Linked DNA regions of Macaca mulatta. The protein of the gene in region 1 purifies or fractionates together with the protein of each later gene. This does not show direct contact. Links are inferred from orthologs where the notes say so. Each region holds a gene or a part of one and is shown on either strand. Other genes may lie near its edges. The genes, in order: ZNF462 and CBX5.

Region 1 (3,813 bases):
GAAGCCCACGCTGATGGAAGAAGAGGAGAGAAGCAGCTTTGAGAAAGCCGAGGTGGAGGGTGAAGCTCAGGAAATCGAGTGGCTCCCGTTCCGCTGCATCAAATGCTTCAAGCTGTCCTTTAGCACTGCAGAGCTGCTGTGCATGCATTATACTGACCACCACAGTCGGGACCTAAAGAGGGACTTCATCATTCTGGGCAACGGCCCCCGCTTACAGAACTCCACCTACCAGTGTAAGCACTGTGATAGCAAACTGCAAAGCACAGCCGAGCTGACCTCACACTTGAACATTCACAATGAGGAATTCCAGAAGCGTGCCAAACGTCAGGAGAGGAGGAAACAGCTTTTGAGCAAGCAGAAATATGCAGATGGTGCTTTTGCAGATTTCAAACAAGAGAGGGTAAGGATATGTTTTGATTTCCCTTCCCCCAGGAGGCCTCTCATCACTGGTGCCCACATGCACTTCTTCGTTGCCAGCCAAACTGCTGCAGGCTTCCTAGTGACTTAGCTTGCCAGAGAGCTCAATAAGTCAATTAAACATTTCGAGCTTGATTATCTCCCATTCTGTGCTCATCCCTCTCCTTGGTCCCGTTCCCCTCCCTCCTTCCCTTTGACTCCTCCCATGGCTCCCCAGGGGAGGTTTGGGGTGGTTTCTATGTATGTCTTTCTGCCAAGTAGCTTTATCTGAAGCCTAGTTTTACAACAACGCTCGCTCTTTCCTAAGGCAGTGTGGGCTGTCTCTTGGTACCATTAGCACTTCTCAGCCATGTCTTGGTCTTCAGTGTTTGCTACACGAACCTAACGTCTCCAGGAGTAGATTTTATTTTATCAAGAAGTTCATTAATGGCGCAACTATGCAACGTTTCACCTGCCTAGTTGAAACTGGTTTGAAAACCAGATAACTTAGTGGCAGTGACAATGAGCTTCTGCACAGAAATCTTCTCTACTCACAAGCCGTAACATATTTGGGTTCCAAAGACTTTGCATAGTAGGCAGCGTGCCATGATGCTGACAAATTTGTTATATAAAAATACTCGCCTATATCTCCCTTGGTTTTTAACCTGATAATCGGCTTTAAAATAAAATATGTTAATAAACTGCAAGAATAAATTCCGACAATTGAGGGAGGGCTCGGAGTACTGATGGCTACCACTGTATTTTACCAGCCTTTTGGTCACTTAGAAGAGGTGCCAAAGATCAAGGAGAGGAAAGTGGTGGGCTACAAATGTAAATTCTGTGTGGAAGTGCACCCAACGCTCCGAGCCATCTGCAATCACCTCCGAAAGCACGTCCAGTATGGCAATGTCCCAGCTGTGTCAGCTGCCGTGAAGGTGAGAACTGGAAGGTCTGGATGAGCATTCTTGTGTGTGAGCGATTCGAGTTACTTACTAACCCCATTGCCTAAAGCAGCTCAGGAAAGAGCATCTCAGAATGTGGGCATTCCTGAATTATACTTGGATTGGTTTGGCTTGTTTTGATTTCTTTGCAGGTTGGACCTTCCTCATCTTTCTGTTCAGGGAAAGGTCGAGTTTCGATCTGGTTTCCTTCCACGTGGATAGTTTGGTGGCAACAGAAGGTCCAGGATTCTCGGTCTAGGAGGCTTCAGGTCGTCCTTCTCTTCTGCGTTTAGTGCCATTAGCTCTTCGTTCTTCCAAGTTGCCCGAGCTCTTGAGAGGAATCAAGTGGGTTCTGTTCCCATCGTCTTCTGCTCCTCTTTCTTCCTGACTTCTTACTGTTCTCATCTGGCTGAGGATGCAGAAAGCCTAGGAGAATCTCTTTGTCTTCTTATCCTGGATCCTCTGGGGACTGCAAAAGACATTAAAACTAAAAGCATTCAAGTCACAACTGACCCTGAAAGCCTTGGTTTGTCTCCTCCATCCCCTTTCCCATATGATGCTGACAAATGTCTTCCCTTTTCCCTCTAACTTTTATTAGGCCACCTGTTTTGAACATCATAATCCTAATAGCAGCCACCACGTCAGTAACTAAGCCACCATCCCCATCTTCCAGAATATTGCTCAGCCCTATTATTTATTAAAACAGAAGTCATTTCAGCATTCTGCCCTTTCTCTATGGGTACATGAAAATATATTTTTGTCATCTGCCCTTCTTGAGCTTACATCCTATTTTGCCAATTTAACATGAAGATAAAGTCTCTACTCTTCTTCATTGAAGACTGAAGCTTTCTGTCTTTTGGCAGAACAGTGGCAACCCAGGGATATCAGCAGTCAGCTTCTTTCACACACCACTGCGGTGTGTCCCAGGCTCGTTTCCTGGGATCACGTGAGAGAGACAGAAGGGCTTTTCCCGTGTAATCAGTAACCCAAGGAACTATCTCGAAAAACAGGTGACTTAAAACTAGGCTGCTCCTTAATTTTTTGAATGGATTATGCAGCAGTCTCCAGTCATAGAGTGAAGTCACCATCTACAGGGTAGGGGGCAGACAGCAGGATCTTTTGCTTTGCTTCCTTTCCAGATAATGGCCCAAGGCTCCTCAATGACCATACTACTTTGCTTTTCATTCTCTTCCTTTCTTCCTCTCTTTTCTGTGAGCCACAACCCTAGCCCAATTTTATGTCATCTTAGATGGGATTGCAGTTGGAATTTTCTTTTAAGAAGGGGAAGAAGTGAGTGAAGTGTCTTCAGAGCGGGAGAAGCCCTTGTTCACATTTCGCAAGCAGTAGCAACCTGTGTCCGGGTATGTTGTTCTAAAATCACCTCCACTGCGTGAGGAATGACAGTTGGGCTTGCTCTCCCTCTAAAGGTAGCTGGAGAGGCAGGGGAGGAAGCTTTGACAAGAAGTGCTGTTGAGTTTGGGAGAATGAAGGGAGAAAAAGCTGGGGGCAATGATGATGGATATTTATTTTGTTGGTGGGGCATGTGTGTGTGTGTGGTTCTCTTAGCAGGAGGCGGATGACCCTGCCCACTTGTTCCTGGATGGATTGGAAGCAGCCAAAGACGCCAGTGGCGCCCTGGTGGGCCGGGTGGATGGTGAACACTGCTTGCTTGATGGAATGTTGGAGGATGAAACCCGGCCGGGGGGATACCATTGCAGTCAATGTGACAGAGTCCTGATGTCCATGCAGGGGCTGCGTTCTCATGAGAGGAGCCACCTGGCCCTGGCCATGTTTACCCGCGAGGACAAGTACAGCTGCCAGTATTGCTCCTTTGTTTCTGCTTTCAGGCACAAGTAAGTGCTATTGGGGGGTCACTAGTGGTTACTGGGGGAAGATGTCATAGTGGAAGGCACTAAGCTAAAGCAGAAGCTTGAATGAGTAAGAAGGCCCCACTCATGGTTCACACCTCCTGCTCTGTTACCTGGAGCTCAGTCACCTTTTCTGTAAAATGGGCCTGAGAACAGGAGATTGATCGGATGGCATTAGATCTGGCAAATGCAGGCATTTTAAAAATGAGAATTGGAGGAATTGCTATGATTTACCCAAAGGAAAAATGCGGCTGTGGAGAGTAGATGAGTCTCCTGATTCATCTGTCGAACATTCAGTCAAAATCTAGTCATTGTTTGAGGAAGTAAAGTCCATTTGGAAAACTGATCTGCGAAAGAGGTAAAATTAGGACTGTTAACCCGTGTGACCAAAGAAACGTTGCTTGCAATTTTTCAAGAGACCTTGAAAGGTAAAGAAGTTCATGGATGCCAAAGAGTTGCTTGACATACAGGGAGATTGAGGGGAGGGAGCTTCCCATTACTCATCACAGCTTTGAAAGTGTAAATTTGGAACAAGTGTGTAAGGCTTTTTGGGGCCATGGAAAGAGGGGTGGTTTTAAGAACAACTTTTTGTTGCTTTTCTCTTTCAG
Region 2 (3,813 bases), on another chromosome or scaffold:
CTGACATTGAAAATTCATGGTTTGGGAATACACAATCTTGCCACCCTATCTTCCGCACAAATTCAAGTCACTGGCAAAGAAACACAATTGTAACATGAAGCCAAATCTCTCTCACCATTTCATTAGGAACATTAAATCACCACAGGAATCTGTTGCCCCAATGATCTTTTCTGGTTCCAGTCCTCTCTCAAAGCCCCGAGCGATATCATTGCTCTGCTATAAATAGAAGACGAAGAAAGGTTACAGCTTGTGGAAAGAGTAAAGAAACTCCCTGTTTCTAGGCTCAACAAAACACAACCTAAGTTAATATCTCCTGATATCATTTCTGTCACCAATTCAGAAAAATTTTTAGAACTTAATACTAAGTACTGACAGTGACAATGAAGTGACAGTGATGCCAAGAGATATTTTTGTAAGATGTGATTATCGGCCAGGCACGGTAGCTCAAGCCTGTAATCCCAGCACTTTGGGAGGCCGAGACGGGCAGATCACGAGGTCAGGAGATCGAAACCATCCTGGCTAACACAGTGAAACTCCGTCTCTACTAAAAAATACAAAAAACTAGCCGGGCGAGATGGCGGACGCCTGTAGTCCCAGCTACTCGGGAGGCTGAGGCAGGAGAATGGTGTGAACCCGGGAGGTGGAGCTTGCAGTGAGCTGAGATCCGGTCACTGCACTCCAGCCTGGGCGACATAGCAAGACTCCGTCTCAAAAAAAAAAAAGATGTGATTATCTTTCCTGGAATTCCTCCAGAAGATTGGAGGTGAACCCTAAAAGTCTCTAATGTCCTATAAGATATTCTGGAGTCAGCCAGGCATGGTGGCTCACGCTTGTAATCCCAGCACTTTGGGAGGCCGAGGCGGGCGGATCACAAGCTCAGGAGTTCAAAACCAGCCTGGCCAACACGGTGAAACCCCATCTCTACTAAAAATACAAAAACATAGCCAGGCGTGGTGGCAGGTGCCTGTAACCCCAATTACTCGAGAGACTAAGGCAGGAGAATTGCTTGAACCTGGGATGCGGAGATTGCAGTGAGCAGAGATCGCACCACAGAATTTCAGCCTAGGCAACACAGCAAGACTCCGTCTCAAAAAAAAAAAAGATACTCTGGAGTCAACATCTAGGAATTCCTCTAATCCCACTCACTTGGAATCTCCTTAATATTGTAAATAAGCTTCTGAAATGTTAAAGAATACCCTGTTTACCCTAACTATATCTTTTCATCTTATGAACTTCAAATATACTACCTCTCTCTCAATCTTTATTTTTTTAGACTTTTAGTTTACCTTAACACTAACCAATAATTTTAACACATTTCACAGTCGCCTATATTTATGAAAGAATAGAGATAAGAATTATGCAAGGCCAATACTATTAAATAGCAAAATTTCAGAGATCACAAACACCAATACTTATATGCTTGGTTGGACAGAAGGCCCTGGGTCAATGCCTATCCCCTCTGGATGTAGATGATTGCTAGCATTAGAAGGCAGAACTGGACTGTGATTGAAAACAAAAACAAAAAAGAAAACAAAAACAAAAAACTGGCTTGGTGCAGTGACTCATGCCTGTAATCCCATCACTTTGGGAGGCTGAGACAGGAGGAGACTGGAAGTTGGAGACCAGCATAGGCAACTGTCTCTGTAAATTAGCTGGGCACAGTGGTGCACACCTGAAGTGTGCTACTCCAACTCAGGAGGCTGAGGCCCAGGGCCCAGGAGTTCGAGGCTGCAGTGAGCTATGATCATGCCACTGTGCTCCATGGTGGGCAACATAGTGAGAACCTGTCTCTTAAGACAGAAAGAAGAAAATTTGATAATTGATGAGATGAGTACTGAAACTTGGTCTAAATGCAGTAATACAATCTAGACAAGGAGCACAGGTTCTAATCCAGGTGTAATAATACTGATGAGAGCCAAAAAGCAAAATTTTATACAAGCCAGGTAATTTTTTTTTTTTTTTTGAGACAGTCTCCCTCTGTTGCCCAGGCTAAAGTGCAGTGGCGCAATCTCGGCTCACTGCAGCCTCCGCCTGCCAGGTTCAAGTGATTCTCCTGCCTCAGCTTCCCGAGTAGTTGGGATTACAGGTGCATGCCACTGCACCTGGCTAATTTTTCCATTTTTAGTAGAGATGGGGGTCTCACCTTGTTGGCCAGGCTGGTCTCAAACTCCTGGCCTCAGGTGATCCATCCCACCTCGGCCTCCCAAAAGTGCTGAGATTACAGGCGGGAGCCATCACACCCAGTTACGCCTGACTAATTTTTGTATTTTCAACATGGTTTCACCATGTTGACCACACTGGTCTCGAACTCCTGGCCTCAAGTGACCCACATGCCTCAGCCTCCCAAAGTGCTGGGATTACAGGTGTGAGCCACCACACCCGGCCTAAACTAGAGAATTTTTAAAAACTTTATTATGGAAGATAATGTTAGCCTCTCCAGTGACAACACAAAAAAAAGATTTAGAGGTGCCCAAATGAACTAAATATCTACTGCCTGATTTTCATAATAAAATCTCTTTGATCTTATGTTCACTTGCTTTCCTCTGAGACATACAAAGCATTTGGGGTCCGGGTGGTCCCCAAAGATACCAAAATCCACAATTGGAAGGAAATTCCATGCATGGATCAATGAGAGATACTGACTTTTAAAAACATAGCCTCTTTTAGGGGCGCTTACGGGGAAGAAGTTCCCAGATGTTCACACAGCTGCTCACAGCTGGAATGCTGGCACATGGACTAAGTTGTAAATCATAACTGGCAACTGAAAATAGTTTGCTACATAGGGAGGGAAGGGGAGGCAAATGGAAGAAAAATGTTCAAGTTGCTGAAAAGGAGCCGGGGCGAAGAAAATGCTAAAATCATCATACAGGCAGTAATCTTAAATCAGGCATAATGCAAACTAACAAATTTCTTCTCCAGGGGTCTTAAAAAAGATACACAATCCCCTCCTGTACCTTTAAAACATACAATCACCTATCATCTCAGCTGTCTACCTGACAGCAGCCAGTACTGCTAAGAATGCTATCAGGGGCCCCAGATGAACATTATGATGTAAGGGACATGTGGGGGTTGTTTTCAAGGTTGGCAGCTTCAGAACCTGGCCTAAGAACAAAAACTCTCTGCACTGGCCAGTGCTTCTAAGCCAGATTATTCAGACAGCTCCTTTTTAAAAATGACAGAGGCCAGGCGTGGTGGCTCACGCCTGTAATCACAGCACTTTGGGAGGCCGAGGCAGTTGGATCACCAGGTCAGGAGATTGAGACCATTCTGGCTAACATGGTGAAACCCTGTCTGTACTAAAAATACAAAAAATTAGCCAGGTGTGGTGGCATGTGCCTGTAGTCCCAGCTACTAGGAAGGCTGAAGCAGGAGAATCGCTTGAACCCAGGAGGCAGAGGTTGCAGTGAGATCGTGCCACTGCACTCCAGGCTGGGTGACAAAGCAAGACTCTGTCTTAAAAAAAAAAAAAAAATTCTAATTTTACTGGTCTGGGGTGCATCTTAGGCACTAGAAATTTTTTCAACGTACCCCCCAGGTGATTATAATGTGTAGACAGGGTTAGGAACTAATGTTCTAGAAAGGTATATATCTAATTACAATGAAGATAAATAGGGATGATTGTGGCTGCTACTCTGGAAGGCTGGAAGATTCCGAAGTAGACTTATGCTTTTATTAAATGTAAAGTGTATGATACATCCTTCACCACAAAAGGCTTCATAACCTTGAAATAAATGAAAGGAGTGGAAGCTGGGGGCGGGAGGAGATGGAAGAGTGTGTGTATTTATGCGCCCACACACAGATGAAAAAAGAGAG

What was found.
Region 2: the proteins of ZNF462 (region 1) and CBX5 purify together in Homo sapiens (affinity purification with mass spectrometry; 3 studies listed by BioGRID and IntAct, counting the BioPlex papers as one, with this or other methods). This does not show direct contact. The link is inferred for Macaca mulatta from reciprocal best matches to the Homo sapiens genes ZNF462 and CBX5.

The regions. Positions count from the first base shown.
Region 1 is NC_133420.1:51,461,101-51,464,913, reverse strand, and holds part of ZNF462 (zinc finger protein 462), read left to right. Parts: coding exon 1-400; intron 401-1,166; coding exon 1,167-1,331; intron 1,332-1,489; coding exon 1,490-1,606; coding exon of another isoform or gene 1,607-1,630; exon of another isoform or gene 1,631-1,842; intron 1,843-2,586; exon of another isoform or gene 2,587-2,708; intron 2,709-2,903; coding exon of another isoform or gene 2,904-2,906; coding exon 2,907-3,190; intron 3,191-3,813. UniProt on the Homo sapiens protein: Zinc finger nuclear factor involved in transcription by regulating chromatin structure and organization. Involved in the pluripotency and differentiation of embryonic stem cells by regulating SOX2, POU5F1/OCT4, and NANOG.
Region 2 is NC_133416.1:61,432,425-61,436,237, forward strand, and holds part of CBX5 (chromobox protein homolog 5), read right to left. Parts: intron 217-3,813; coding exon 116-216; intron 1-115. UniProt on the Homo sapiens protein: Component of heterochromatin that recognizes and binds histone H3 tails methylated at 'Lys-9' (H3K9me), leading to epigenetic repression. In contrast, it is excluded from chromatin when 'Tyr-41' of histone H3 is phosphorylated (H3Y41ph).